Neurospora crassa OR74A: one gene and its partners. The protein of the gene in region 3 interacts with the protein of the main gene of each other region in a biochemical or structural test. Links are inferred from orthologs where the notes say so. Each region holds a gene or a part of one and is shown on either strand. Other genes may lie near its edges.

The links.
Region 1: the proteins of eat-2 (region 3) and ubi form a complex in vitro, tested with the Saccharomyces cerevisiae proteins (2 studies listed by BioGRID). The link is inferred for Neurospora crassa OR74A from reciprocal best matches to the Saccharomyces cerevisiae genes SLA2 and UBI4.
Region 2: the proteins of eat-2 (region 3) and NCU04115 form a complex in vitro, tested with the Saccharomyces cerevisiae proteins (2 studies listed by BioGRID). The link is inferred for Neurospora crassa OR74A from reciprocal best matches to the Saccharomyces cerevisiae genes SLA2 and CLC1.

Annotation. Positions count from the first base shown.
Region 1 is NC_026506.1:3,139,127-3,150,251, reverse strand, and holds ubi (ubiquitin), read right to left. Parts: upstream 5,209-11,125; 5' UTR 4,934-5,208; intron 4,866-4,933; 5' UTR 4,209-4,865; coding exon 4,187-4,208; intron 4,117-4,186; coding exon 3,221-4,116; 3' UTR 2,669-3,220; downstream 1-2,668. Other genes in the region: NCU11215 (RING-10 protein), read right to left, coding at 1-1,134, 1,199-2,374; NCU05996 (C6 finger domain-containing protein), read right to left, coding at 7,458-7,558, 7,625-10,064. UniProt on the Saccharomyces cerevisiae protein: Ubiquitin exists either covalently attached to another protein, or free (unanchored).
Region 2 is NC_026505.1:4,893,662-4,903,777, forward strand, and holds NCU04115 (clathrin light chain), read right to left. Parts: upstream 4,796-10,116; 5' UTR 4,545-4,795; coding exon 4,502-4,544; intron 4,429-4,501; coding exon 4,193-4,428; intron 4,106-4,192; coding exon 3,650-4,105; 3' UTR 3,446-3,649; downstream 1-3,445. Other genes in the region: NCU04113 (hypothetical protein), read right to left, coding at 1-1,957; NCU04114 (hypothetical protein), read left to right, coding at 2,661-2,665, 2,838-2,925, 3,043-3,103, 3,168-3,229; NCU04116 (DUF618 domain-containing protein), read left to right, coding at 5,564-5,661, 5,748-5,839, 5,962-6,162, 6,217-7,004; NCU04117 (ATP-dependent permease MDL2), read left to right, coding at 8,166-10,116. UniProt on the Saccharomyces cerevisiae protein: Clathrin is the major protein of the polyhedral coat of coated pits and vesicles. In yeast, it is involved in the retention of proteins in an intracellular membrane compartment, presumably the trans-Golgi. The yeast light chain is important for cell growth.
Region 3 is NC_026501.1:1,862,888-1,871,852, forward strand, and holds the end of eat-2 (cytoskeleton assembly control protein Sla2), read right to left. Parts: coding exon 6,405-8,965; intron 6,303-6,404; coding exon 6,210-6,302; 3' UTR 5,665-6,209; downstream 1-5,664. Other genes in the region: NCU01957 (AR2), read right to left, coding at 3,201-3,624, 3,704-4,207, 4,283-4,323. UniProt on the Saccharomyces cerevisiae protein: Required for cellular morphogenesis and polarization of the cortical cytoskeleton. It might act in concert with proteins such as CDC42 and CDC43 to limit the region of cortical patch formation to the cortex of the bud.

The DNA of each region.
Region 1 (11,125 bases), on a different chromosome or scaffold from region 3:
CTTCTCCATATGCTTGATCCGCTTCATCAAACCCTCCCCTACTCTTTTCTCCTCTTGGAGTTGTTTCGACAAGTTCCTCGCCAGCTCCGTGCTTTTGTCGGCTCGCTTCCGCTCGCGCGTGAGGTCCCGCTCTAGAGAGGCGACTTCTTCTTTGAGTCGGAAATGCTCCTCTTTGAAATCGGTCAACTCTTGGATGGCACGGGTAGAGGCGGCCGAGGCGGCGTCTGCGGCTGCACATGCTTTGGAGGCTTTGTCCGCTGCCTTGGCGACCATTTCCTCAAAGTAGATGCGTTGTGATTCCAGCTGTGAGGTGAGGAGATGCGTGTATTCGAGCCCGATGCTGTCCAGCTTGGCGCGGGGGACCACTTCTTGGTCTTCGGGTACCGGGGGATGGGGTAGAGGCGCACCCGTAACCGCCGCCATGGTCTCTTCTTGGGAGCTCCATGCCGGGGCAGGGGCACGCGCGGTGTTGTTGCGCTCTGAAGATGTGTTGCTGTTGTGGATATGATGACTAGGGAACTCGACCACTTTGCCCTGGCCCTTTTCGCGGATCATGCGGTGCACCCACATGTCGCCCGCATAGTCCCAGACGTGCTGTGTTTCCATTTCCAGGCTGAAGCTGTGGGCAGTTTCCTTCCAGTGCTGCTTGGCGTGACCGCCCTTGTACCGGCCGCACCCAACGTTGCCGCAGATCAGGCAGATCCAGAGGTCCGAAGGTTCGTCGCAGACGCTGCAGAGGTTAGATACAGGTCCCGAGCCGAAGGGTCGCGAGTACGGGTTTTCCTGGTTGCTTTCCTCTGCAGTAGGCTTGGGATTGGTTGCGCGGCAGATAGGGCAGCCGAAGCCTTTCCAGGTTTGGAGACAAGTGCAGTGAAAGACGTGTTGGCAGAGGATGGTCATGAGACCGGCTGTATCGTCCATACGCTCAAGACAGACAGTGCAGGTTGGTAGCTCGATCAGGTTGGGGGTAGGGGGAGGGAAGGGTCGCAGGTTGAGGGTGTTGCTGGGTGAGGGAAGGGTGTCGACTGGGTTGCCATTTCCGCCCGCGTTGCTCGTGATCGTGCTGTAACCTTTCTGGCCGCCAGGTGATTCCACGGTGATGGATTGGATGTAGGCGACATGGCAAAACTCGGTCTATGGTTTCGAGAAAGTTGCCATTAGCAACGCCAGGAAATCATGTAGTCCAGGAGTCACTCACCTCGATACTGTCAAATGGCCTCCCATTAAACTGAACCCTAAAATCCCTCGCCCTTTGCGGATCCCTAAACTTCATCAAAACCATGTACCGATTCAGCTTGCTCGTCATGATCATCCTGTAGTGGCTCACGTCATCGCGCCACTTTTCTCCTATGAAGCCCAGGAAGTCACTCGGACTCATGTACATGGGAACGGCAGTGATGCAAAGAATAGTGCCGTCGTCACCGCTGCTAGCAGTTCCGTTGCTACCGCTGGCGCTGCCTGCACCCACCCCGGCGCGAAGAGCACTGCTCTCATCGGCCTCGCGGTACAGATGGACGATGCCCCACCCAACCTCCGTGTTTTTGGTTTCGAGGGGTATGTATCGTCCCTTGGTGGCCTGGCCCATGCCACCGAGGTTCGGGCCTAGAGAAGCCGCTGGCGTACCGTGGGACGCACGTTCTTGGTTGCCATTTTTCTCTTGTTGAGATTGCTGTCCTTGATCCTTCAGTGACTCAGCCATTGCTGACTTGTTGTTCTTGGCTGCTACCGGTTTTCCAGTTCCAGCAGTGGCGCTGTGGGTGTCTTTCCCTTTGCCTTTCTTCTGAGTATTGTCCTCCGCCGCGGTTTGTGCGTGTCGCTGCAGATGCCCGTCCCGTGGCAGATCAAGGCTCTCGATGCTGATCCTTCCAAAGCGCCAGTCCTTAGCTGCCGTCCGTGGCCCTAGCCCAGACGTGAATCTTGGCGGAGGAGAAGTCGCGCGCGATTGCTTGCCTGAAAGCCTGACGATGTTCCTGTTGTCTTCGGGGTTCTGGCAATCTGGTCTGGATGCCCCGCAATCGATAACTCCGCCGGTTTCCGTCCCTTCCTCCGCCTCGGGGTCTGAGCTGTCGTTGAGAAGTCCCAAATGCGATTCTGGCAAGGCTCGAGGAATTTTCTCCGAATGGCCCTTCTTCTCTTGCTCTTCGATTTGCCCTTCTCCTTGGATGATATCTCGATTCTGTTTCCTCCTGGACGATGGCCTTGAAGACAAAGATTTGAGCTGCCAGGTACGAGGGTGGGCGGGGAGCTCGTCAAATATGGACGAGTCCTTGGTAGGTAACCAGATATCGGGGTGGAATGCTGCGGCGGGCGCGCTATGCGTCGGATCTGGCGAGGGGTAGAGCTCAAACTTCAAATGATAGCGGTAGACAGGCATGGCATATTCATGGTATGGTCGCAAAGAAATGATTCCTTGTTGTGATGGTCGAGAAACAACAATGCTTTGATGAAAAATCTGATGAAAGTGTAATATTGAGAGTATTGCGTTGACTGTAAGAGTGGAAGAGCAAGAGAAGGACAGAGAAGGATCAAGAAGATGAAGAGTCGATTAAGACACCTTGGACGCGGGCCTTACGTCAATCAAGTCGCCGATGCCTATCTCTGCAGGTTCATGTGTGCCCAAACTCCATGCAGTGATGGTTCTTGCCCTGGTGATTAGAGAGGATGAGAGGTCCTTCCGGATGTCCTCTTCACATTCAACCTTCCACAACTACGAACTTGACGTTGGACGTTGGACGTTGGATCGTCCTTCACAGGGGGGGAGGGAGGGCTCCACGGCCGGACTAGCGCGAACTGAACTCGGCGGTCGGTACGTATCTTTCACGTATGATGCATCTTGTCCACCAAAAAAGGGCGCCACTTTCGGCCACGCAACGGTCACCTCGCACGGTGTGTACCAACCCACTGCACCACCATCTTGACTTACACGTCCGACTCCATCCCCAATTGACCAGATGACAGGTTGACGGGAATAACAAAAGCTCACGAATTGAGACACAAGCAAATCACCAAGAGACATCATGTTTGAGACCGTAAATATAGTCTTTATTATGGCATCGCTGTATGTATGAAGCGTGTGCCATTAGATTCGGCTAGATATGCCCTGTTTCATGGTTGTCATCATTTCCCAACCCATGGATGCAATAAGTAACCCAATAAACGCTGAACGCCCAAATGAACCCTTGCTCGTCATCAAGAATCAGAAACAAAGACGACAATCCGCTTACTGGCCGCCACGGAGGCGCAGCACCAAGTGAAGAGTGCTCTCCTTCTGAATGTTGTAATCAGAGAGGGTCCGGCCATCCTCCAACTGCTTACCAGCAAAGATCAGACGCTGCTGGTCAGGCGGGATACCCTCCTTGTCCTGGATCTTTTGCTTCACGTTATCAATCGTATCCGAAGACTCGACTTCCAGCGTAATCGTCTTGCCCGTCAAGGTCTTGACGAAAATCTGCATACCACCACGAAGACGGAGCACCAAGTGCAGGGTGCTCTCCTTCTGAATGTTGTAGTCGGAGAGGGTGCGACCATCCTCGAGCTGCTTTCCAGCGAAAATGAGACGCTGCTGATCAGGTGGGATACCCTCCTTGTCCTGGATCTTTTGCTTTACGTTGTCGATGGTGTCGGAAGACTCAACCTCGAGAGTAATCGTCTTGCCGGTAAGCGTCTTAACGAAAATCTGCATACCACCGCGTAGACGAAGAACGAGATGAAGGGTAGACTCCTTCTGAATGTTGTAGTCGCTCAAAGTGCGGCCGTCTTCAAGCTGCTTGCCGGCGAAAATGAGACGCTGCTGATCGGGAGGAATGCCCTCCTTGTCTTGGATCTTTTGCTTGACGTTGTCGATAGTGTCGGACGATTCCACCTCAAGGGTGATGGTCTTGCCGGTAAGAGTCTTGACGAAGATTTGCATACCACCGCGCAGGCGGAGGACAAGGTGGAGGGTAGACTCCTTCTGGATGTTGTAGTCGGAAAGGGTGCGGCCATCCTCCAACTGCTTGCCGGCAAAAATCAAGCGCTGCTGGTCGGGGGGAATGCCCTCCTTGTCCTGAATCTTTTGCTTGACATTGTCAATGGTATCCGACGACTCGACCTCGAGGGTGATGGTCTTGCCGGTCACTGCGAAGAGATAGTTAGCATCGGTCGATCGATGGTAAAGTGATGATGCGGTGAGCGTGCGATAACTTACAAGTCTTGACGAAAATCTGCATGATGGGGGTTGTGCAGTGGACGAATGGACTGTTGATGGATGAAGCGAAATGACTAGAATCGAGTGGCGGGAATGATATGTGCGTGGATGAACACTCCTGCGATGATGGCGATGGAGAGAGATGGTGAAAGCGGAAGAAATGGAATCGGGGATGCAGATGGGCGGGGAGGATTAAATAAGTAGGTTCAGGTGCTGGCTGCGGCGGAAGTGGCAGGAATCAGGATGGCGAACTTGGAGGGGCCAGGCTTCCACTGCCTGGAAAGGGAAGCGAAGCGGGGGGGCTGAGTGAAGGGGAAGAGGTGACGGGACTGGAGTGGAAGCGGAAAGGTGCCAGGTCCCAAGTCGATCGTCACTGGTCCGTTTGCAACGCCTGCCACGGTGTGAGTGGTGTGTCACTCACCTTCACTGACAGGCCACGCACAAGCCACTTGGCGGTTGGGAGTGACAGAGAAGTGGAGGGAAGGCGCGAGAAGAAGCCAGTCAGACGACAGTTTCCCCCTTGACTGTTGGCTGTTGCCCGTTGGCAGGAGTGGTTGGACATCCCCCCCAACAGTGACCGCGGCTGATTGATCGCACTGTCAACGCCTTCTGCAGTGGCGGGCACTCACCCAGCCGTTTGCCCGTCAATGCGTCAGTCACCTCAGCCGGGCTGTTTGCCCTGCTTCAGTTAGGTTCTCTCTGGATGAATAAGCCAAAGAATGATCTGCATGTGGCTGGACGACGGACCTTCGAGTTTCAGTTGTTTACAAATCCGAGAGTGCCATCTCGACTTCTCGTTACTTTGCCAGCATCTTGACAAGCTTCTCTCCATGTTATTATAATTGTTCCCTCTATCAGGTTGTTGATGGCCTCTTGCTCGATGCTTCACACAGCAGCAGTCCAGCTGGCATCATGGAATACCGACGTGCACCTTGCTGGTTCCCCGCATTTGATAAGCGAACCCCCCAACGAAGTGAGCGGTCAATGACGTGGTCCGATCGAGGGCACCGAGAGGCAAACAGGGAAGAGTGAACGGTTGGATCGCAATTTTCCAGCAATGGAGGAAATGACCAGAAGACATGAAGATGAGTATATAAAATCAAAGAGACCTGTGACTTTGTCTTTAACCAACACCACAAAGAGTGTCACCAAAGGGGTCGAGGTGTTGGTCGTCGAACGAAAGAACAACCGGACGGGAGGTGCATCCCGGCCAGGCATCGTTTCAGCTCCAGACAGTAAAGGGGCGAGTCAGCTGGCACTGTAAACCACAGAATGCTCAGCTGGTGTCACGGACTCACGGTTGGTTCTTCCACCGACCTTTGCAAAGGCTGCTGAGGTAAGCGCTCCGTCTGGTGCGACGATGAGCTTCGTTAGTTCTCCGTGTTCATGGCGGGACACCGACAACTGAACCGGACGGGAACGGGGAGCTATTACCAGGTATTCTCTTTCGCTTTTCTATCGGCTTTCCGACCGACCGTGGCTGTTGACGCCGGTAAGGATTCAAGACCGGTGACAGATGGGAGACCTCCTGACTGCAGTGCCTGGCCATAAGGGTTCCCACCAGCCCCCGACCGATGATGTCGTGACTCCGTTCCTCCCGTTATCGCCCAGCATTATCGTGGCCTCTTTCTTGGCTCCACCGCCCCGCACTTTAGGAGGGTCGCTCCGCTATTGACGGTCTCTAGCCTCCGTTCACGCATGATCCATAGTATCGCGAGTTACCATCATCGATCAGAATGCTGGGTCCTTTACGCACGAGTGTAATATGTACAGTAGAGGGAGGTAAGCTGTGCAGCACAACATCACAAACTCCTGGAGCCAAGTGACGAGTTCCGCCCTGCCCGCTACTAGGCCTGCCAACCACCTCGGGTGAGACCGGGGCCGGCATCACCTCCTGCACGGGATCCCGGGGACTCCCGCGCAGTCACGCCTACAACTCCCGTCTTCGCAAATGCGGGAATCGTCCTTACGGTCCGTTCAATACACCCATTCGGCTCGGGTTGTGACATCCCATGATCAAATGACAACCCTGAACGTCATCAGATTGGTGTACATGATACTTTTTATTGTCAATGCGTGTAGTGAACCAAGTTCAATGCAGGTGCCTGGTTGCCGTTCGCAATCCTTCTCACTCATTGATCTTGAGTACTTATGTACTCGTCTGGCCTAGGCTCTATCGTAAGAGTTGGAATGCATTTTTCCACTCATCCAGAACCAACGAGCCAACGGCTTTCTTTGCGTGGTAATGACTTGCGTCTTTGAAATGAAACAAGTACACACAACCCAAGGCAACTCTACAAGACTCGAGAACTCGTTTGCTCTGTGGCCCTTCCCATAGTCGGTTCCATGACAACCTGTGAAGAACCAGGTAATGTGTACTTGTGGATGAAAGTTGGCCTTAAACAAACAACCACTCTCTTCGTTTTTCTCTGATGAGGGAACATTGCCTGCTGTAGTACACTCAACAACATCACACCAAAACAAGCACTCGAACAGCCTAATACTCATTAACAATAACCAATAAATATTTCTCAAAAAGAGGATTTCTCGCCTAGGTCGCGGTTTGCCCGCGCGCGCTTATGCAAGAAAGTCCACCTATCAATCCATATCTATATGTAGGTAAACCAAAAGAAAAAGACCAAATCAGATAGACAAAAAAAAACGCCAAGATACCCAATGCAAACCCATTTTCCTCCTCTTCCTCCCCTTTGAGTTGTGCTTTTCTTCGATCCTTTCAAACAACCCTTTCCACTCGCTTACCCTCCTTCATCCCATGCCCTTCCTTTTCCCGTGAGCGACTTCTTCTCTCCCAACTGAACTATCAAAAGTGCCAGACATGCAGATCGTGCTGGTTTTAACTTTTTTGCGATGTATGCGTAGTAGTGTATGGTGTGTTTTGTGTAGATTCGTTGGGGTTTCGTCAAATGTGTATTCATCAAATATTGATCCGTCATGATGGGACGTCAGTCATTTCGTATCGTGTTGTTCGCGGTGGTGACCAGCCACCAAGTGAGTGTGCGCGGCCAAAAAAAATGCCACAAAAGATAACAGAAAAAGGGAGAAGATGGTTGACTATAGAAAATAGTAGCCATAATGAAATAAAGATGAGAACGCCGTCGCTCAATGGCCCCATGAGATAAGGATAAAGAGGAAAACAGGAAACCGGAACAGACCAGCTCTTGCGAGCTTTGCTGTAAAGTGCTGTAACCGTAACGTGGATAACGGGTATCGCAACCAAAAGAGGCAGAGTGCAGCAAGCAAGAAAACAACCTTAGTTGGCCCGAATGACCAGCTTCGACAGGAACTTGTTTGATAGTGAGTCAAAGTCATAGCGGTCGAACTTGGTTTCTTGACGGGTCCTAAGGTAGGATTCTGTTATCGCGGGGTTAGTATGTAGGGTCACACCATGCTGACATTAAATGAGGGGTCATCACTCACCATGCTTGAGGACATGCTGTCTAACTTCGGTCATGGCCTCGCAGACGGCAACGTTGTTATTAAGCAGCTGACCATGCCTGCGAGTATCCCACTCCGTGAAGGCGGGCAGCTTCTGAGAGATGGCGTGGAAGAGGCCAACAATGACACCAACAGGAGTAGACTCCATATCGTCACAGAACTTGTTGACAGCGATAGGGTCAGGCACACGGTAATGGCAGTCGAACTGGATCTCCTCCCAGACAGCCAAGAGGATGGCAGCCAGCATGAAGATAGTAGGCCAGTTCTTGAGACGCTCTCCGCTGTAGACCGAAGAGTAGAGAGCAGAGAGCTCCTCGAGGACCTCCTTCTGGAGCTCACGCCACATATCGGCCATGGCGCACTTGATCTGGAAATTGATCATGACAGGGGCGACAACCTTGCCAAAGTACTTGGAATCCTCGTCATCGATCTGGCCCTCCATGGGCTGCTCCGTCGGCGGCTGCTCAACCATGGTAATGTGAAGAGTGAGGTTGTAAGCCACAACAAGCTTGAGCGCCTTGCGAATGACAGGCAGGCGCTCCTTGACGTAGAACCTATGAGCGGTCTTGAAGAGCTCGGTGATGAAGGGAGTACCCTCGAAATGGTCGTCAATGAACTGCTCGAAGCCCTCATCGACATGCTTGTCGAGGTACTCGGAGAGAGCCTCCACAGAGACACCCTCATGACCAACGTCGAGGCGCTCAGTGCGGATCTCAAAATCGATAGGCTCCTGGTCAGTCAAGGTCGACTCGACCCAGTCGACTTGGAAGCAGCTCTCGTCGGCAACAAACACCTCGCGAACCATGACAGGGAGGCAGAAGCCGTAGCCGTGGGTGATCCACATGAGGGTCTCCTTCTGGGCGAAACCCTTGACGTTGAAGACGGACATGCCGCGGCCGAGGTGACGCTCGTAGTCGGCCTTCCAATCCTTCATAAAGTAACCAATATCCTTGATATCGATGCGAGTGCAAGGCACCTGCCACAAACGAGCGTGAGAAGGCTGGCACCCGGCGCAAGGCTCACCCTTGTCGCAGGTCTTCTTGAGGAACTTGCAACGGAGGCAGGCCCGGAGCTTCCTGATCTCGCTGGCCTGCTTACGCTGCTCAGGAAGGAGGGGTCCACGACGCCTGCCAACCTTCTTTTCACCAGTGCCGTCCTTCTTGCCAGTCGAGTTAGTCCTACGAACGATGGTCTTGGAAGGCTTGGCAGTAGGGCTCTTTCTCGGGCCAGTGATTCTCCTCGGCGGGGGCGAAACCGAGCCAGAGCCATTGGCAGTAACGGCCCTCGAAGAGCCGGCCTTGATAGGGACGGGAGCAACGGCGGAAGAGGGGCTGATCTCAGTGGGTTGAGGAGAGTGGTGGTGGTGGTCACCGGAGCAGCAACCGTGGCGGTTGTTGGTCATATCCATGAAGCCATCGGACTCGGTGGAGAAGGGCGAGTAGGGGAAGGTAACTTCCTCGTAGCTTCCGAACTCGGTAAAGTCAGACTGTTGTGAGAGTTCAGATGTGGTCCTCAAGTGCAAAGTCTGGCCGGGGTTGAAGATGGCGGTATTTTGCGCAGGCTGGGGCTGAGTGAAGTTGTTGTAATCCTGAAACAAAGGCATGTCCACGGTAGCCCAGCCATTGTCGCTTCCAGAGTGCAAAGACAGAACTTCCAGAAAGCTGCCCGTGGGCGAGTGGCTTCCCATGGGCATCCGGGCAAGTTCGTTATGCTGGTTGAAGTTCATGGCCATCTCAAAATCCTGCCAGTTCGCCATTTGCGTGCCCGTACCCGTGCTCCACTGCAGTTGCTGGCTGGTCTCCTCGACGGGAGAGATGGCGTGGTTGAAAGGAGCCTCCAAATGAAGCGTGTTTTCGATGGCGGCCTGGGTGGTGGCGGGGAGATAATCGAAAGCGCTGGGCTGGTGGAAGTTGGGCATGAAGTGGTTGGTGAGAGCAAGCAGAGGCTCGTTCGAGATAAACTGAGGCATATCAGAGACATGTTGCTGCTGCTGTTGTTGCTGCTGCTGCTGGGTCTGCATGGGGAAAGCGGTCCAGTCGGGGAACAAGTGGGTGCCGGTCTGCAGAGGCGAGTGCTGGAGAGGCGAGTGCTGTTGTTGCTGAAGAGGGCTGGACATGACGCTATTCCCAGGCGACTGGCAATTCTGGTCCTCGGGCGACGAAGGCGACATGCTGCTGCTTGGCGAGTGGATGGAGTTGGGTGCGCTCATTCCTCCGGACAGATCAGCCGGGAGCCAAGTGGCACCCGGGCTGAGGCTTTGACGGGCGCTTTGGGACATGGTGGTCAGCGCGGTCGAGGTGATGTTCTGGGGTGATTGGGTCGAGGTGATGATGGGATAGTAGCGCTGGTGGTCTTGCTGGTCGAAGGCCAGTTGTTCTAGCAAGACGGCGTCTCCCCCAGCGGCAGTGAAGTCGTAAGTCATGATGGCGGGAGCGGGAGCGGGAACCAAGGGGTCAATGGGGTTTTGTTCAGGCGAGGATGAGGTGGACTGGAGATTTTCCGTTAGTATGGATCGGCCTTCCGTCTGGCCTCGTTTCGATCCGAGTGCGTATGCGTGGAATGCGTGGGCGTGAGTGGGCGTGGGCGGCGTGGATGGGCCGTGGATAGGCGGCTGACAAGTCCGGGGGACGTGGACAACGGAGAGGACCCCAAGAGCGTGGATGTGGACGTGGCCGTGGTGGACGACGAGGGTGAGGGGGGTGACACCGCTCTTTTCTCGATCAACGATGAGTCGGTCAAGAAAGGATCATGACAAGGAACCGTCGCAGAGAAGCAGAAGAAGAGCAAAAAGGCACCTGGCCGAGGCTACCTGTACCTGATCTTCTTTTGTTTCTGTGTTCGAGATGGTCGAACTGGGCGTTGCAAAGAGACTCGTTTCTGCCTCCCTCACTAGTATGCGTCGTAAAGTGTGAAGAGGGGATAAAAATGGACAGAGTGAAAAGAGAATCACACAACCACGACACTCGCACACTTTTGATCAATTTCCAGCGTAGCGTGGAAAGGCGAACAGGGACGCCGGCGCTGGCTTGGCTGCGTTGTGTGTGGTCTGGTCGTCGGGGAGATGGAGACAACGCTTTGCTGGGTCGAGAAATGGCTCGACGAGGAGGTGGAGGACAGAGTCTAAGCGGGTGGAGAGACTAGGGAAAAAAGAGGATTGGAGGAGGGAGGCTGGCTCCAGCCCACTTGGTTGAGAGTGAGCAAGAAACCCGGCACGGCCAATTGAGAGTGATGGATGAGTGGTGCTCTCGTAGAGTGCCAATGGTGCACCGTCAACCCCTCGCTCGCCCACTCACCACAAGAGTTGAAGGCAAAGAGAGTGAGCGAGAGACAGACAGACAGACAGAGAGAGTTCCTTCCTTCCTCACTCAACGCTGAAGAGGCGGTGAGGGTGCATATACAACCCCAGTAAGAGGACAACGCTGATTGGACTGTCTGGATGCGTGCATGGTTCCAGGGCCAATCAGTTCGTCCCATGCTTAACGG
Region 2 (10,116 bases), on a different chromosome or scaffold from region 3:
GTCCCAGAGTACCCTCATAGAAACTAACAATGTCCAATGCAAGATCGTCGCGCTCGTCATGCAGTCCTTCACGTCCGAGTCTGAAAAGAATGATCTGAGAAGCCTTGGACGCGAGAGGATATCCGAATCGTAGAAGCCGTCTATACATGGTGGCATAGGAGGAAATGTCCACGCCATCTTTCGCAGGCCGTGGTACTATTTCTTCGCATACATGTTTTGATATGGCATCGGCCGTAGAGTGCATCATTTCGATATTTCCATCGGCCATAATATCCAAGAAGCCAACCATATGTGAAGCGCTGTTGGCTTTCAAACAGACCAACAATGCTTCATTCGTTGACTCTTTCAGAATCTGCCTTGTGTTGAGATGGCTAGCTTCCACAAGGAGCCGACAGAGCATAAAGTCTCCCTCCGCAGCAGCAAAACTCAGGAATGAAGGGTGCTTGGCGAAGTTGTCAAATTCTTCCGGATGCATGGTTGTATTGACAAGACCGTCAAACAGGTCCTCGTCGCCAACTGTAGCAAAGTGCTGTAGTGTTTTCGAATAGCTCGAGTTACCAATTCCGATTCCAGACTCTTGCAGCTGTGCAATGTGATGAAGGAGTCGGCCAGGGGAGGGTTCGCGCCGGGCTATAGACTGTAACGAAAGTGGCCCGATTTCAGAAAAGCCGAGAGTCGAGATTGTACCAATGATGGTTTCGATGGAGAAGTTGAGGGTCGCAAACCATCTAGCGCCCAAGCTGTCATTATCTGTTTGTTCTTTGATGCCGAAGATATTACCCAGACCCTTGGAGATCTGGTAGTTGAAGTTGATACCAACTTGCGACTTGTCGTCCCTTAACAGGCTGTTCAGGTCTGCACTACTTGGAAGCGCAGCTTTACTCGGCGGTATAAGGAAGGATTGTTCTTTGTCAGTCAACTGGATTTTCGGATGAAAGCCGACCAAGAACTGTAAGAATGGCCGCGAAGCTTCGGTTGTTGGCAAGTCGTTGTGAGAAATAAACAGCCGACGCCAATCACGGGCAATACCTTCCTCTCCTTGGGCGAAGAGGTAAGGAATCATCTCGTCGTAGAGGTTTTGGCGGACACTCGTCATGTACAGTGCTTGTAGGATTTCTCGAACCTTTGCGTCTGAATTAGTGATGAACTGCTTCAGCACGTGGGTAAGGGGTTCTGAGTCGGAGCAAAACGACGAGCTTAGGCGTAAGTGCCAAAGCAGCGTTGACTGTGTATCCTGTTGTGCTATGAAGAAAGATACAACACCTGCGTAGAGGTTTGGCCAAAGGACTCCGCGGTCACTGTGGAGCCACTCAGCATAGGACCAAGCACTGTGCAGTGTTGCTTGATCGTGAACGGCCACATCTAGTATTGCTTGCCAGAATTTCTCGGCAGTTGAGCCTTCCACTTCCGTCAAGGTTCGCCGTTTTTGCAGACCCTCGAGAACTGCTGCAACTCCGGCATCTCCTTCGGTGCGCTGGCGGTGCTCAAGTATGCACGACCAAAGGGTGATGTCGTTCGCATACTGTGGCCAGTCAACCAGTCGCGGCTTTCCATTTTCGGGCGAATCTGCGTGGACATCACACTGGAAGCGCAAGTCTTCCTCGGTGGCCGTCAAGACATCCCAATCGTCACGGTTGAAGGGCTGGTTAGCGATGCGGGATGACCGAAAGCCCGACCATGCTGACAGGTCGTGTGTGGTAGACGCTTGGCCTGGTAGCGCCTGCACTGCCGAGCCCCGTGCCTTCTTTGTATTCCGAACACCGTGGTCCTCTTCCGCCGCCAAAGTCTCCGAAAGTGCGTATGCCGTCAACGACCGCGACCAGCACGCGCTCGTTGAAAAGTTGACGCATGATGGTAGTCCAGACGCCTGTAAGTGCACAGCGTCCGTGTATAAGTGCGATATGGTGGAGCGGCGCGAGCGAGCTACATGTCGCAGCACAGGAGGCACGACTCGCATAATGGAATTGTGGCCGCTCGACACAGAGAATTGGGCATATGAGCGGCGGGGACTCTTCTTAGCGGCTGTCTGATGCGATCATGTTCATTTTCTTTTTCGCTTCGAGGTTGCCGCTGGGTTATTTGGCGTCGTTGTTCGTATCGTTCGTATAGATCGCGAGGTACCTGGGGCTTCGTTGACTGACTCGAGTTCTGGGGTATCGCGGGCGGTCCATCCCACGGATGGGGTTGTGAGGGGATGTGGAAACTCCTCGGGCTGGAAGCTTTGACGTTCTGGAGTGGAGGGGACACAAAAGTGGAGGGGACCTTGCAGGTGTGGCCGGGGATCGCTCCCTAACTTGCTTCTTAGTCATCCTACGATCATGTGTTTCAATCCCCCATCCTTCCCGGCAGGCAGTGAGTCTGCTGAGCTGCTCAGTCTGAAGGTCAATGTCGAGGCATCAGCAGCAGCTGAAAGCTGTGAGCACTGACCAAACCTTACACCTGGCAAACAGGCAGGCAGGCAGAGCTTCCGCCGTCGGGTCTGCAGTCTCCACCATCCACAAGTCCGTGCACCACAGGAAGCCCCGAGCCGAGAAACCTGAAGCAGTGAGAGGTTCAAAGCTAACTCTCCGTCCTTTCCACGCATTCGACATCATCACACCAACCCCTCGCATCACCCCCCCGGAATCTTCCACCCAACGACCCCCGACAACAATTTCAAGATGCCGTAAGCTTCTCCCCTCCGGCTGCGAGCTCCTCGACGATCCGACGACCCTCCAGCGACTGCGCGCATTGCGGACGCCGCCCCAGGTCCAATTACCTGTCGTCATGACGCACTATTGTTCGTCGTACGATTTTGGAATCCCAGGCTAACAGCTCTCTTTCTTCCCCGACTGCAGCGGCCTCGTCAACGCCCCCAACCACGTCCCCGAGAAGCAGCGCTACTACCAGCAGGCCTTCAAGAACCACACCCGCCTCTGGAAGATTGTGAGTTGAAGTCGACACTTGAGGATGGTTGGGGAATCAACAGATGGGAAGGAGGAGAGGGAGAGACGGAGAGGGAGGTTTTGTCGGGATAAGGGCTGATGACAAAATCGCGAACAGGGCCCTCGCAGCGGCATCATCATGACCACCTTCAACATTGCCATGTGGGGTACCTTCGGCGGTGCGTATACCTTCATTGATGGCTTATCGCTTCGTCCTTGCTCCTTCCGCTAACTGTACATCAGCTTCCATGTACGCCATGTCCCGCAAGGTTCTCGGCTACAACACCTGGTTCTCGGAGGATTAAATTAGCCGTCCTACCACGATAGTCAACGAAGGCGGTGCTACTGGTCATGATAGAAGCACGAGAATCCCTTTGAATATGTGTATAGTCGCAAAGAGCAGCATAGATGGCGGCAGAGGGCAGGCCGCTTTGGGTGATACCTCCAAGAAGTAGGCCGCCACGCCGATATTCCCTATTTGCATCATGGATTCCACCGACCACCTTTGGGAGAGCTACTGTAACCGTGGAAATCGTGATCCATTGGGTCTCGGCGCTTCGATTACCAAGCTCCAAACACTGATGGCTGCAGCTGTCAAGTCTTTTCTATCATTACAAAATTATGGCTTTTTGGCCATGGGGCAGTAGTGGCCATGGAGGTGTGAAACCTGTGAATAGTGGTAACCAGGCGTTCCCTTTGTCATGGGGGCAGATCAAGTAAGCGCTTTAAATCCCCGAGGCACCGGGGGCCTTTTCGTCCTTCTTTAGGCTTATCAGGAGCTCACGGAAACGCTCCTTGCCGGAACCAGCAGCACCGCCCTTAGCTCCCTTGCCGCTAACGTCAACCAGCTTGGCAATGCGCTCCCAGCTCGTGCCTCCCGATGTGGTGTCCTCGCGGCTGGCAAGGAACTCCTCGGCCTCCTTGCGGGTCTGCCCAATGGCCTTCTCCTTCTTGTTGTTGTAGTTCTCGTAGAATTCGTCAATGTTCTTCTGCGCCTCCGCGATGGTCTCGGCTCTCTGGGCGGCGAACTGCTCCGCCCGCTTGGCAAGCTTCGCATCACGCTTCTCGCGCCACTCTCTGATCACCTCGGGCTCTTGCTCCTCCTGGGCGTATGGCGCATATCCAGAGTTGTAGGTGACGGAAGGACCGGCGCCAGTGATGGTACCGCCTGGCGCAACAGACTAAAGTGAAGATGCCCCATGTTAGAACCCAAGACCATGATTACGTGCTGTGTCGACATCTTTGGTATCATCATTATTTAGTCGTACCTCGTTGCCTGCGGAAAGGTCGGGGAACTGGCTCTCGAAAGCAGCGCTAGTCTCAAGGCCAGCGCCGGCGCCAGCGGAGGAGTCAAGGCCACCCCCTAGGAGGTCGTTGTCATCGTCGAAACCAGCATCCTCAACTGTCGCAAATTGGTTGGCATCGTCGCCGAGAAGCGCCTTTTCGCGCTCGAGGAAGTTGGAGGCCGAGGGGCTTCCAGAACCCTCCTTGATCTCGGTCTGGGCTTTTGTGGGGGTTTGAATGTTAGCAGGCAGTAACAGCAAGGTAAGGGGATCTCCAAACAACGCCAAGCTTACCGCCGGAGTCGAACTCCTCCAGCGAGGGGAATCTGTCAGCCATGATGTGGGTGGTGTGATTTGACTTTTGGTAGATCGGCGCGAACGGACAAGACTGGAGGCTGGAGAAGTGGACTGAAAAACGGAAATATTGGGTAGGACGGAGGATCGAAGAAAGCTGCGAAACAGGCAAGGTGTTTCGTTGTTTGATGGAAGTGTCTTTTGGTGTTGGTGTTGCACTGCGGGAGTCCGAGTTGCAGCCCACCCCAGCGCTCCTGATCGCGCCAGGTTCCAGGTTGCGACGGGACGCCACTCACAGCGGCCACTGGGGCACTTTGGCACTTGTCCACAGTAACAGCGACCCTCTTGGGCCTCTCCATTTGGCCAGGGGAAGCCGTAGAGGTAGTAACAGCTACCTTTAGGTACCGGCAGGCAACTCCATTGTCTGCGTGCGGCAGGCGTTCCGTTGTCCCTCTTCCCCTGCCTGCCCTCGCATTGGACGGATGGAGGAAGCTCCAACGTCTGCTTCGTTCCGTCCCACCACCTCCCGTCGACAACTTCTTTCTTCCTTCTTCTTCTTTTTCTTCTTCTTCTTCTTCCTTTCATCAACAACATTCAGCACTCACCTCGCTGTGGTTTCAGTTGTTTGTCACAGAGCATCCAGATCACGCTCATTTGCGCTTTGCACTGCAAACTCTTCCTGGTGACAGCATTGGTAATAGCAGGGAAACGACTCCGGTGTAGTTGGACCACAGAGCTTGACTAGGTGCTTAGTTCGTGCTGAGCACTTCTCTCTTGCCGTCATCTAGTGTGTTGTGTTGATAGTCCACGCTTCTGCCATTTGAGGTTGTTCCCAAGGGCTTTCGATCCATATTCTAGATCACCACTCGGCCGCGTCTGGAGTCCCTGCTACTTACACGCAAACATCACGGATACCTTTTCGTACTGCTGTAGATGAGTTCTGAATAAACCCGACACCGCATATCTTGAACATCTGCCCCGTCCATCACACCCACCAACCAACCAACCATCAACAACCACTTTTTCCAACACTTTCCAACAAATTTCGCCTAAAGCTTCACCATGGCGTATAACGAGGATGCTGTGCTCTCTAAGCTCTCTGCACTCACTGAGACTCACGAGAGCATTGCAACCACCGCTCAGTGGATCATGTTCCATCGGTAAGCTCCCGCTGCCCACGACCGACGACCGCATTCACCTGCTGTTTGATGTCTCGACCGCCGAACTGACTGTTGATGTATCTTAGGCGACATGCTGCCCAGACTGTCCATCTCTGGTTGACCAAGCTGAAGGACCTCCCCAGTCCCAAGAGGCTCAACATGATTTATCTTGCAAACGGTGCGTGCATTTCCCAGGCTCTCCCACATAGGCTGCATGTGATGTGCATCCCCCGGCGTTCGTTCTGGGTTTCTTTCTTCTCGTTTGGGACTGAATGCTGACTTTATTCGTCTTTCTCATAGAGGTGACGCAGCAATCCAAAGCTCGCAACAAGGATGACTTCCTTCAGGCTTTCTCTCCATTCATCGCAGATGCAACCGCGTTGTCTTATAAGGGCGCCTCGTCAGACATCCAGAACAAGCTCCGAAGGGTTGTTGATGTTTGGAGAGAACGCAAGATATTCCCCATAGAAGTCCAGGACGCCATAGACTCTCGACTAAGAGGTAAGCCGTGGCCTCAGCCCTTCCGCAGACAAGCTACTAACTTGTTCAATCCAGAGCTTGACTCAGCCCGCTCCGGTGGAACAATGTTCGGTTCCACATCGTTGTCGTCGCCAGCTGCAGCGGTGCCTCCAGAGTTGGCACCCTTGGTTACCTCACAGCAGGCAGTTTCCAAGAGTGCCCAGGCGTTGAAGACAAGCCTTACTACCGCCAATTCGGACTACAGCAAGCTGATGGATCCGGCCCACGCTCCTCCTCAGGCGCCAGTGTATGCCGCGCGACTCAACGGGCTTCTTAAAAACCTTGCCAATGCTGAGGGAGCCGTGACGGAATGCATCAAGACCCGCGAAGAGCTGATCAGCGCATTGGAGAAGATGTTGAGCTCCAACCGACAGGCCTTGGAGGCCGAGCAATCACAGCTCAGGGATCTAGGCACCCGCAAGACGGCAGTTGAGGAGAAGAAGCAAGCAATTGAGCTCAGCATCATTGGAGGTTTGCCTCACAATACCCAAGAGCCGGCTACCGGTGAGGAGCGCGCTCCATCTAGCTCGGATGGCCACGGCATCGCCCGTCCTCAGGTTGAAGCACTCACGCCGCCCCACGTCCAAGATCACGACGATTTCTACGATCATCGCCCGTCTGAGCAACAACAGCCGCAGAACGGTCATACTCACCCAACTGGATCTGCTCCTGGCATTGAGATGCTGTCCGCCCTCGCTTCTCAATATGAGTCTGTTCCAACTCGAGAGGCCAAAAAGCGCAAGATCGACGAGACTGCCGACATTCCTGACGTAGGCATAGATGCCGATGTCGCCGAGATGATCCAGAAGGAAAGCACGATTTAGAACAAGGACGGGGAGAAGATTTTTGGAAGCAAAACTTGACCGAACTGAAGTTTTTCTACCTTTGTATCAGTTTGAGTGCATATGGCCCAACACTCTGGAGTTGTTGCCGTTATTGCTGGTCTAGGGGAACGATAATGGCTGTATGGCGAGAATCATCATTCATGTGGCATTTTGGCGCGGGCCTGAAACCTTCTCTGGAGCGAGTATGTGGAGATACAGAAGGACAGGACTAAGGATTATTGGCATGCTTCATTCTTGACGGGCAAAGCGCCATTCGGTTCGCTGTAGAAATATCGTGAATAAAATCATCGGCATTTACACAAGCGATCGTCTTTTTCGTCTTTTTTCATTACCATGATGACCTTTGAAGTTGATGACGTCCGCACAGCTTCAATACCCCTGAGGTACAAATAAGTGGCATGAGTGGAATGGGCCAAGCTTGAGCACGGGCCACTTGTAGAAGGTACCGACATCGTTGAACGCATTCCGGAATTGACAGTGGATGCCGCCGGCATCGTTGTCGGGTGGTGGCTTGCTCTTCGCTGCTGAATGACGAAATGTCCGACTGCAGGTGAAAGATGCGCGCTTTGCCCTGTTTTGGGGGGGGGGGGGGGGGGGAGAGGGACAATTGAACAAGGGAATCGAAGCCGCCCTCCCGCCGTCGTGGTCCCCAGAGCTTGAGCGGCGAATCAATCGCAGTTGCTGCAGCGCCAAACCGGCGATTGACCACTGAAGTTGAGATCCCGTCCGCCGGGACAAGCAAGGGTTTTTGCACCGACGGCCGAGCCGACCGAACTGCCTGGGTGTCATCCCGACTTCATTCCATCATCCCCCCCGCCGTCCGTCCCGTCCCTCGACCTCGGAACCTTTCCACCACTTCTTTCTCCACGTTTCCTTCAACAGTTCCTCAACCACATTCCACATCACCAAACTCACCCATTCGCACGCAGTGCAGGGACTCAAGGGAACCGGGCATTGACAAGCGCAGAAACAGGCGCGCATGCGCGCTAGCGGTCTCGCATCAGGCAATTAGTAACATAGCCCACTGCACAACACCGACATGATATGATAGAAACTCGACACCGAAACTCTACGATACAGCGAGCCTAGTACCTAGTCACATACACACTCGACCTACCCAAGACACATATACTTCAAGCCATGGTTACGGGGGTAGCGGTGCGCCGCGCCGTGCTGCTCCCCCAATGCGGCGGTAGCGGCGCCGGGCTCGCGGCTTTGCTGCCGTTCCAACGATCGCCCACTATGACTTCCTCGATTCTGTCCGCAAAATTCTGCCGTCCGTTCTCGTCAGTTCAGCGGCCCTCGACGACATCTTTTACCATCGTTTCGGTTCCTTTCTCATCCTCCCATCCCGGATCACGACCATGCGTACAATCCCAACGTTGGACTTCCCCCTTCGGCCTTCTCCGCCAGCTATCGACCTCACAAACTCGCCTACGGGAGCAGCCGGCCAAGGAAGCTGCGGCAGAGACAGCAGAAGAGGCGGCAAAGGACGTTGAAAAGGTCAAGGAATATACATCTGAAGAACACCTCAAGGTACACGGTTTTACGAAAAGCGAGAGGGCGCATAAGGCCGCCCATATCAACATGAGCGCTCGTCTTTCCAAGGATGGCAAATCCCAATCAGGCACCAAGCCCGGCTTCGCCGAGGTCTGGCGTCTGATCAAGATTGCGCGCCCCGAGGTCAAGGCGATGAGTGTCGCATTCGTCCTGCTTCTCATCTCGTCCGCGGTCACCATGTCCATCCCCTTCTCGATCGGCAGAATTCTGGATCTTTCCACCCAGGGTCCCGCCGGCGAGGTTCGGCTCTTCGGTCTTACCCTCTATCAGTTCTTCGGCGGCCTCGCTGGTCTTCTCACTCTTGGTGCGACGGCCAACTTTGGCAGAATCATCATTCTCCGTATCGTCGGCGAGCGCGTCGTGGCTCGGTTGCGCACGAATCTCTACCGCCGCACCTACGTCCAGGATGCCGAGTTCTTCGATGCCAACAGGGTCGGTGATCTGATCTCGCGACTGAACTCCGACACGGTTGTCGTGGGCAAGAGCATTACTCAGAACGTGTCTGATGGTCTCCGTTCCATGGTTAGCGGAGCGGCGGGTTTCGCGGCCATGTTCTGGCTCAGCCCCAAGCTGACATCCATTATCCTCATCATGGTTCCCCCTATCGGTCTTGGAGCGGTTCTCTACGGTCGCAACATTCGCAACTTGAGCAGGCAGATCCAGAAGAACGTCGGCTCACTGATGAAGATCGCCGAGGAACGGTTGGGTAACATCAAGACCAGCCAGGCCTTTGCCGCTGAAGTGCAAGAGGTGGGTCGCTACAACAAGCAGGTCAGAAAGATTTTCGCCCTGGGCCGGAAGGAGGCCATTGTCTCGGGTGTCTTTTTCAGCAGTACGTCGTATGCAGGAAATCTGGCGATCCTGGCTCTCTTGATTGTCGGCGGGAACCTTGTGCGCTCAGGGGCCATGTCTCTGGGCGATTTGACCTCGTTCATGATGTATACTGTCTTTGCTGGTTCGAGTCTCTTCGGTGTTAGCGGCTTCTACTCGGAACTGATGAAGGGTGTCGGCGCAGCGAGTCGTTTGTTCGAGCTCGAGGATCGCAAGCCGGCCATCCCCCAGACCGTTGGTGTGAAGGTTGAATCTGCGCAAGGTCCCATCAAGTTCTCGAATGTAACGTTCGCCTACCCTACCAGACCTGCAGTTACGATATTCAATGGCCTCGACTTTGAGATCCCCTCGGGCACAAACGTGTGCATTGTAGGCCCTTCAGGCGGAGGTAAAAGCACCGTGGCCTCCTTACTCTTGCGCTTCTATAACCCCACATCCGGTAGCATCACCATCAACGGCATCGACATTTCCAAGATGAACGCCAAGTCTCTCCGCCGCCGCATCGGCATGGTCTCACAGGAGCCAGTCCTCTTTTCGGGTACCATTGCCGAAAACATTGCTTACGGCCGTCCACGGGCTCCGCGCACCGAGATCATTGCGGCTGCCCAGAAGGCCAACTGCGGTTTTATTAGCGACTTCCCCGAAGGCCTCGAGACCCAGGTCGGCGCCCGTGGCGCCCAGCTTTCCGGTGGCCAGAAGC
Region 3 (8,965 bases):
TGTAGAAGTGAACTTTGCTCGTACAGGAAGGAAGGACGACGTGGTCTCAAGGATGAAAGCATACCTACAGGTACTTAAACCATCATATCGCTCCCTTCAATTCTTCTCCCATTCCAACCACATCTTTCTCAGTTTTCTCCCAATTAATCGGAAATCGAGTGCTCAAATCATTCCAATCGCATTAGTTTACCAAAAGTCAATTCAATCATTCTTGTTTAATCACTATTACCGTACACTCACTCCTACGCTACCCTCCCGTCGAAAAGACAATTGAGCACATTGGCAGACCAACCCTTTTTTCCGACCCGCAGGTATGTCTCTCGCTCACCATTCTACTCTCCGCTTTCTCGCCTCTCCAACTTCTTTCTAACATAATAGCAACAGTCTCGAAAAATCCATCTCGAACATTCCGGTACAATAGAGCAGCAAGCTCTTCCACCCCAAACCACGTCCAGCCCTTTCTCACAGCAATGGGTAACGATCATAAGTACCTATCTTCTGTTCGGACTCGGACGCTACTGGTTCAGGGCAGAGCGCATCTGGAAGAACTGTTTCGGCGATATCAGACTTCTTTCTCAAGCGTCGTCGATCGAAATCCGAACTCGAATCATGATTTCGGCTCTGATTGGACCGCTGTTCATATTACTATGGCCTGTCGACGTGACAGCGACCGTCATCTGGGGCTACCTCAGAGATGCGTTCCAAAGCTACTCAGATCGGGATACTGAAAGCAAGACTACTCCTGTTAGGAGCAGTACCCCGCCGCCAGCTTATACAACTGATGAGGAATGAGCTCCATCGAAGAAATATCTGACGGAGGACTACCCAGGAGTATGAAGCGAAGGTGTTGATGATCGGCAGTGATCTCATGATAGTTTTTTTCTTTATTTTTCAGCGAATACTTCCTTGCTGTTAGCGTTTGTGATTTGTTTTAAAGAGGAGGGAAAAGATAACAAGCTAAGAAACGCATGGCGGGGCTCCTCGGGTCTTGGAGGAGTGGAGATAACTTCCGCAATTAGGTGGCATCATTATATCATACAGAGAACCCTATCGCATTGCGATACTTGTCAGAGGCAGGGGTATAGCTGCTAATGCAATCACAAGCAACTTGGTCTGCTGCTTCAAAAATAAACACAGCAATGTTGTCTTCGCTCCAATTTTGCTGCTTCGTTTGACGTTCTGCCCATAAATGAATATGGGAATATAGTTCTGGTGGGGGTCAGCTTCCCGCACAGTCTAATTGGACAATCCTTGAATTTCGTTCACTAATCCCGGCTTGTCGAAATCCCTTGCGTCCCGCTCTCCAAGTGTACAGGGATATACAGTGTATATAGACATCTTTGCGCGGTACTCTTGTACCGTAGCGACGAGAGTCTGGGACGGGATCGTGCTGATTCTGCCAGATACGCACACAAAGAAACTTGACGCATTGGAGAGTACCAAGTAGGTACATTAAGTCTTGGGTTTATTTAGAAGATACCAGCGCAACATCCATTCTACCTGAAGCTGGCAGGTTGCTTATGTTCCCAAGTCCCAGATTTGAAGTTGTCACCGTACCCTGCGGAGTGCTGACAGACTGCCTGGTCGGCGGTGCCGACCTTCCATTCTCCATCAAGCCCACGGTAACATATAGCAAGCAATAAGACAACGCAAGATTCTGCAACATTCACTCTTCGCTTTGTCACAAGAAGGGGCCCGTTCATCATATAGGCAGTATTCCACCTTCGTGCCTCGCATACCGAATTCTTGTGTTGTGGCATGTATGGCCAAGGGTTTGCATATGCTAGGTGCGTGGCGCCGACTGGCGGAAGAGCTGGGGTCTCGACCATTCTTCCCACTTTGTCGGCGCCGTTCTTTCGGGCGTTCGGTTGATCGGATGTTTGTGCGGTTCCGTCACAGACTCCCGAAACCCTAGCTGCCCGCATTGCCGTTACTGTGTTACAAGAAAAAAAAGCGAAAGGAGGGTGCAAAGGTTTGTGCAATCAATGAGGGTTCTTGACAGCTCGTGCAGTACAGTACCAATGTACCGCTTCTCGAATCTCCCTTCGGTACTACTCTCTTCAAATCTCACCGCGGCACTCTGCCCAGGCCTCGTCAAGTGGCTTGCTGTTTGAACATGTATTTGCAAAGCGAACCTGGCTTGTCATCTTTGAACATATAACTGGTGGCGGACCGGGGGATGAGCGGTTTGTGTTTCCGGGAATCCCATGTAATTTCTGACAGCAGGTCTGACAGAACAAGTTCAATGTCATTTGAATCTGCATCTCACCCAGTATAAAGTTCACGAAGATAGCAATGGGTCAACAATTGGTTGCCACCAGTCAATCAAACCCATGACTCTCAGCTGACTGCAGGAAAGCTTTCGGTCACAATCGCTTCACAGCAAGCTTACAAATTTCGAAAAGTGATATCTCACAAAGTGATCCCTGGATCATTTATCGTGCCTTACAGATTCCCCCTTGATTCTCATTTCCCATTCTCCCTTGCGCTTTGATTGTCTGTTTGCTACTTATCGCAAACGAACGCTGACGTTGAGCAGTCCAATTGATTACGAACTAGTTATCTAGCGGGAATTTGTCGTCTCGTATATCCTCTTTAGGTCTTGCTTGTTACTGTTCCCACACTCAAACGCCTGTGCAGTCTTGGCGGACGTGTGCGTGTACACACACACACAACTTTTTGGTAAAATGGACTATTGAAACGAAAGACGAAGATGAAGAAACTCAATTATCCTATGGAAAAAAAACTATTCTCTTAATAATCTTAAGTACGCTGACTCTGAATCTCAAGTCGGATTTCTTTTATCTCTTTGTTTGGTAGAGATATAAGCAAATGAAATCTCATCGATGGTCCGTTTTGCCAAAAAGTTGTGTGTGTGTGTACACGCACACGTCCGCCAAGACTGCACAGGCGTTTGAGTGTGGGAATGTATAAAAACCTTCGGGTTCCTCCTCTTGTATAATTGAGTAAGGGCTACCGAAATAGGAACGGCGAGTCTGTGGGCTATTAGGCCAGGTTTGGTACCGCGAGTTTACCCTCATAGCCAGAAACGCGATAACTCTTCAGGGGAAAAAAGAGACAACAAGCACGCTTTAGCCTCAAAGAGCTATCATCTTCCGCTGTTATGTGCCACCCGTCACAAACATCACTACAACCTCCTCGCCAAACACCACGCTCAACGTCACGATCGGCAAAGTGATTCATGGACGAGCACACTTCGCCCCAACGCCATTGTAAGGTGGGGGAGGGTCAGGGTGTTGTACATTTGGGTTCGTCGGAGTTGTGTTTAGGGTTTCCGCAATTGGTAAGGTCCTCGGAAGTCCTTGTTCGTTATTGATCGCTTTCGATACGTAGCAAATGATACAGCCAAACAAATCGAGAGGCCATATTCCAACAAACATCAGAGGTATCAGGCAATATGCTGCGATCCGGGTTCTTTGTTGGTTTTCTGTGTAGTGGGTAAACGTATCGATAGCTCCATTCCAATGAACCCAAATATTTATCGATCGATACCAGAACCACATGTACCCAATGACAACCCATCCAATAATGGCTGGAATGACTGTCTGGGTTGGGAAGTTGTGGTTGTCAACCTCAAGGGCTACTGACTCGGTGATCTTCATCCTAGAATATTTATCAGTATATGAGAAAGGAATTAGAGTGACCGGAAAGTAGAGAGTTGAATAGTAAGCGAGAAACATACCTGGAATACTTGATAGAAATTTTGCCACGCTTGCGGGCAACACCAAGAGAACGGAAACCACGGGTAGCGAACTCAGCAACCTTGTTCTTGTAGGCCTGGTCAACCTCCTCAGAGATGGGGTGGTCCTCCTCGACAGTCTTCAAAACGAGGGGCACCCTTGACGCAAGTGATGCGCTCACCCTGGGGAGACTCGACGACGGCGACGACCTTCTTGGAGACGGGGTCGAAGGGGTGGAACTGGAGAACCTTGTACTTGGAGAGAATGGACTTGGCGCGGGGGTAGTACTTGAGGGACTTGAGGAAAGCCTTGTGACGACGGCGACGACCTTCTTGGAGACGGGGTCGAAGGGGTGGAACTGGAGAACCTTGTACTTGGAGAGAACGGACTTGGCGCGGGGGTAGTACTTGAGGGACTTGAGGAAAGCCTTGTCGATGGTATCAATACCCTTCTTCTTGCGGGAAGCGGCTAAGCAGGCAGTAAGCATGAGATCCTCGGGGTCGACACTATGATATAATCATCAATGTTTGGTTATATGTTGGGAGAAGAATTTGAGAGGGGGGATACAGTAGTTTAAGTACCTGTTGGGAGGGCCCGGGTCGGGTTTCCTATCTGATTGCATTCATCCTTTGTGACCAGTCATCCTTTCTGTACGAGTACCGGTAAAGCTCACTTCTGCAAGTACATAGGTAGGTTGGGAGGTCCGAGGGCACACGGTTTCCAAGTTTAATGCCTACCGTTTACCAGGCGGGATGAATACTAAGGTTGTAATATCATCCTGCCTATACGAGCGAAGCTCACTTCTGCAGGTACATAGGTAGGTTGGGAGGTCCGAGGTTACGGTTGCCAAGTTTGATGCCTACCGTTTACCAGGCGGGATGAATACTAAGGTTGTAATATCATCCTGCCTACACGAGCGAAGCTCACTTCTGCAGGTACATGGGTAGGTTGGGAGGTCCGAGGTTACAATTGCCAAGTTTAATGCCTACCGTTTACTAGGCGGGATAAATAATAAGGTGGCAGTGTCGTCCTGCCTGCACGAGCGAAGCTCACTTCTGCAGTTGCGTAAAGGTAAGCAGGCGCTGGTGCTCGGCAACATCGGTACATACCTAGAGCGTAGAACAGCGCGACATACCAAATACAAACTATCTAAGCTGAGGCTTGATTCGCTTTCATTCGCATATTGACCAATGTAGGTATTGAAGTCTACGTAAGAATCCCAAACCCAAGGACGCTGTAGGCTATACTATATCTCGACCAAGACCCGTAAACGACCTGAAGAGGCTCCCCCCCCAAAAAGTATACCCTTGAATATTTTGCTGCAGGTCCCAACCTATAAACGCCATGGAAGAATGCAATTGCTTGCCCAACGCAGCCCCACGCTGCCCTGCTCTCCCATACATCTCTTCTTATTGTACAGCTCATGGACATCACAACCATCTGCCCGCAGCAAACACCAGCGGATCCAATACTTGGCACTGGTACATCCAATTACCCGTCATCCAAGCTATTGGTTGGTACGACAACGACGACTCCGCAGGAGCACTTTAATAGCATAACAACGTGAACGCCAACCGACCGGAGAGGGAAGCAGGAGAGTGTGATGGTTCGACTTTAGCTTGGCCTGCCAGAATGGGAAGAACTAGGAAATGCAAGTCAAGAGGGAGACAGAGACCAGACTTTCAAGCTGACGTGGGGAACGAAAAGAAAAAGAGAAAACAGCATAATGGACCAGGCGATAGGAAGGAAACGGAACTTGAACTCCCTCCACCAGAGATTTTCTCGTTCTGAATCTTGCTGCACGAACGAAAGCAGCCACCGATGACGAGACAACGAACGGGCTGCGACAAAAAAGCGAAGAGAGGGAGTGAAATGGGCCGTATAAGCAGACGTAGGGAAATTGGACAGCCGAGGGCTGAAGGACTGACGTGACAGGGGAAGGGGAAGAGGAGGCGGAAAAGGGGTGATATTCAGCAGCACAAAGCACGAAATTTGGTCGCCTACTCACTCTTGACGTATCTGGTAAACTTTCTGGCAGACCGACCGATCGAGCGAGCAGCGAGCAGCGAACGCGAAAATCGAAACCACAAAAAAAGGATGTACATCGCCATAAAAGAAACACGACGGATGCCAGCAGTATGACAGCGGGAGTGGCGGTTTGCCTGTGTTACCAAACACCCGCGCGAAGAGCGAACGGAACATATCCGAGGCCGAAGTTACGACGGCCAATTGACGACTTCAGTGGATGAAAAAGAACAAGGTGGATGAAACTGAGTTTAACACTAACACCTGATGACTCCCAAAGGAATTCGAGCTAGGTACAGAGGGGGTAGTTGAAATATAAAACATCTGATGAAGATTTTGGAAGACGCTGCGGGACGAAAACAGAATGAGGGAGGGGATCTGGTCGGATGCATGTGCCCACGCTGCGCATTGAAGCGTAAAGCCAGCGAGATGAATGAAGCCACCGAGTATACTACCTCAACAACCCCATGTGTTGCGGGACAATCAGTCCTCATCCTGTTGGTACGAAATCTTGCGCATCTCGCCAAGTCTGTGGCGAGCAGCATTCAATGCGTTTTCGAGTTGAAGGATTTCGACCTGTGATGGGGAGAGAATGAATTGGTCAGCAATGAACCATAATAGGCAAGACCAAGGGTACCGGAAATGAAAGAGGAAGGAAATCTCGAAGGAATCACGTACCTGTTGCTCCATCTCGCGCACCTTGAACTCGTGCGACCCAAGCTTGCTGTAGTCCACTTGCTCATCCTCGGCACTGCGGTCCTTGATCATGCTCTGGACTTGTCTGACGAGCGCACGGCAGGCGGCACCGACAGCCTTGCTGGCCTCCTCCAGGCTCTCCTGGTTCTTGCTCATGAAGCCGGCCTTCACACGGCTGGCAGCCACGAGCTGGGCGGTGGAGGCCGCAACATTATTAGATGCAACGATGAGCTGCTCAGGGCTGTTGCGGTTGGAAAGAACACCGTCAGCAGTCTCGATGAGAGTGCTGGTAGAGTTGGCAACAGCCTTGGCGGCGGAAATAAGACCCTCGGTCCATCTGTTGTTCTTCTTGTAAAAGGCGGTGCGCGAAGACGAGCCACGACCAGCTTGCACAATCTCCTGCTGTGTAGCGGTGGCAGCCTTGATGAGCTGCGCGATAGCGGTGGTAATGGCCATGGCGGCATCGAGGATTGAGTCGTGGACCTTGAGTTCGTAGGTAGTATATCCATCGCGAGGTTTGTTCTTGAGCTTCTGCAAACGGGCAACGGCAGCAGCAATGGCATCGGCTGCCCTGCTGAGTTCTTGATCGACGATGTCGCCAAGGTCACCCTTGTTAGCGAGCTGGCCAAAGCCAGGAGCGAAGGTCTCGACAAGCTTGTTCAGCTTTTGCAGGTTGATCTGGACATCGTTATTGCTGTTGATGACAACGTCGGTCTTCTGAAGTGGATCCATGCCCTCAAGGCGGAAGCTCAACAGACCACGGAAGAACTTGACTGTCGAATGGGCAGATGAACGAGCACCGTTGATCAAAGAGTCTCCCTTCTTCTCGTCAGTAGCGAGGCGAACGAGACCCTTGGTGTTACTGCACACATCAGCGATGGCGCCGGCGAAAACGTTGGCGTTCTTGATCAGCTCCGCCGGACTGCTGCTGGGACCATCGGCGATGAAGACGTTGAAAGCGGTAGCGAACTCCGTGGCACTCGCAGACGCCTTCTCAATCTGCGAGAGGACATAGGAAGGCGAGGCGTTCTGGTTTCCGGCTTGCATGTCAGAATCGAGCTCATACATGGCATCATCAACACGCTGAACGCTAGCTTGAAGCACAGAGTCGATAATCTCGTTGACCTTCTCCAGCTGGGAGAGGATCAAAGCGTCCAGCTGGCCGTCAAGGGCTGAATCGGAGACACCCTGGTTGTTCCTGAGCTCATTGAGCTCGATCAGTGTCTGGTCCATGCCAGCTTTGTATACCTCGAGCTCCTCCTCCTTCTCGCGAAGTAGCGCTTCAAGATCCGAGCTTCCATCCCGTAGCTTGGCTTGGGCCTCTTCCAGTGCTCGTGACTTGATACGTAAGGCTTCCTCTAGATCGGCCATCTCGCGGTTGTACTTGGAAAGCATTGTAGAAAGCTCGTTGCCCTTGCTGCGCTCCAGATTATCGGCGCGGTCCAAGGCCATCCGCAACTCCCTCTTGAGCTTCTCAACCTCGTCCTTATTCGAGCCTTGCAGCCTGTCCTTTTCATGAAGAGCACGATCGCGCTCACGAATCATGTCTGCCAGCTCCAAGTTCTTGGTTTTGATCTCACGCTCAAGCTTCTCCCGCTTCTCAATCGCTTCCTGAGCGGAAGCCGCTTTCAGCTGTACCGTCTTGAACTTTTGGAGGAGATCGAGATGCTCGTGGCGAAGCTGGGAATAGAGCTTCGCAAGCGCTTCATACTTTGTCCTCCAAGTGTTGAGTTGTTCTTGGAGAGCACGGATTTGGTCGTCTCGGCTGTTTATTTGCTGCCCGTAGTTACCCTGGATTTGTTGCAACTCGCTTTCTAGGGCCTTGACCCTTTGGTCGTACTGCTGGAGCATTAGTTGATCCCGCTCGTACTGGGCCCGGGCATTCAGATTCTCCTGTTCAAGCTCAGCAAGCCGCCCTTGAGTCTGCCATTGTGTCTGCTGGGCCATCAAGGCCTCTTGCTCCCTTTGCTGTTGCTCCATCAACCGCCGTTGCTGTTCTTCGAAATCGCGTTGCGCTTGTAGTTGTGCTTGCTGCTGCGCTAGCAACGCCTGCTGCTGCTGTGCTTCCAAAACCCGCTGCTGCTCCTCGTATTCCCGGTTCTGCCTGTCAAGCTCATTCTTCCAGAACTCGGCCATGTCATCGGGCTCTTCGGATTTCGGTGCTGGGGGCGGAGGTGTCGGACGCTTTTCGATTTCGTGCTTTGGCCGAGCAGGCAAGGCAGGTGCATTCTCATCCTCGGCCAGGAGGTTGGGCGGATCCTGGGGAAGCTTGGGAATCGTGATCAGACTGGTGAGATAGCGGAGGTTTGAGCACTCGTAGTAAAACTTGACCAGTCGGTAATGCTGGGCATCGTATCTTCCGCGCAACGGTTCCAGCGCCTCGGCGTCGCCAGTAGATGAGTGCATGGCGCGCAACATGCTGGTGATGAACTTGTAGATGCCATAGCTTTCGGTGACGAGGGGGACGAGGGCAGATATCCTGCACTCGTTGTTGCCGACGTTCCGGAAGTGAGAGAAGATGAGCTTCTGGAACTGGTCAATTT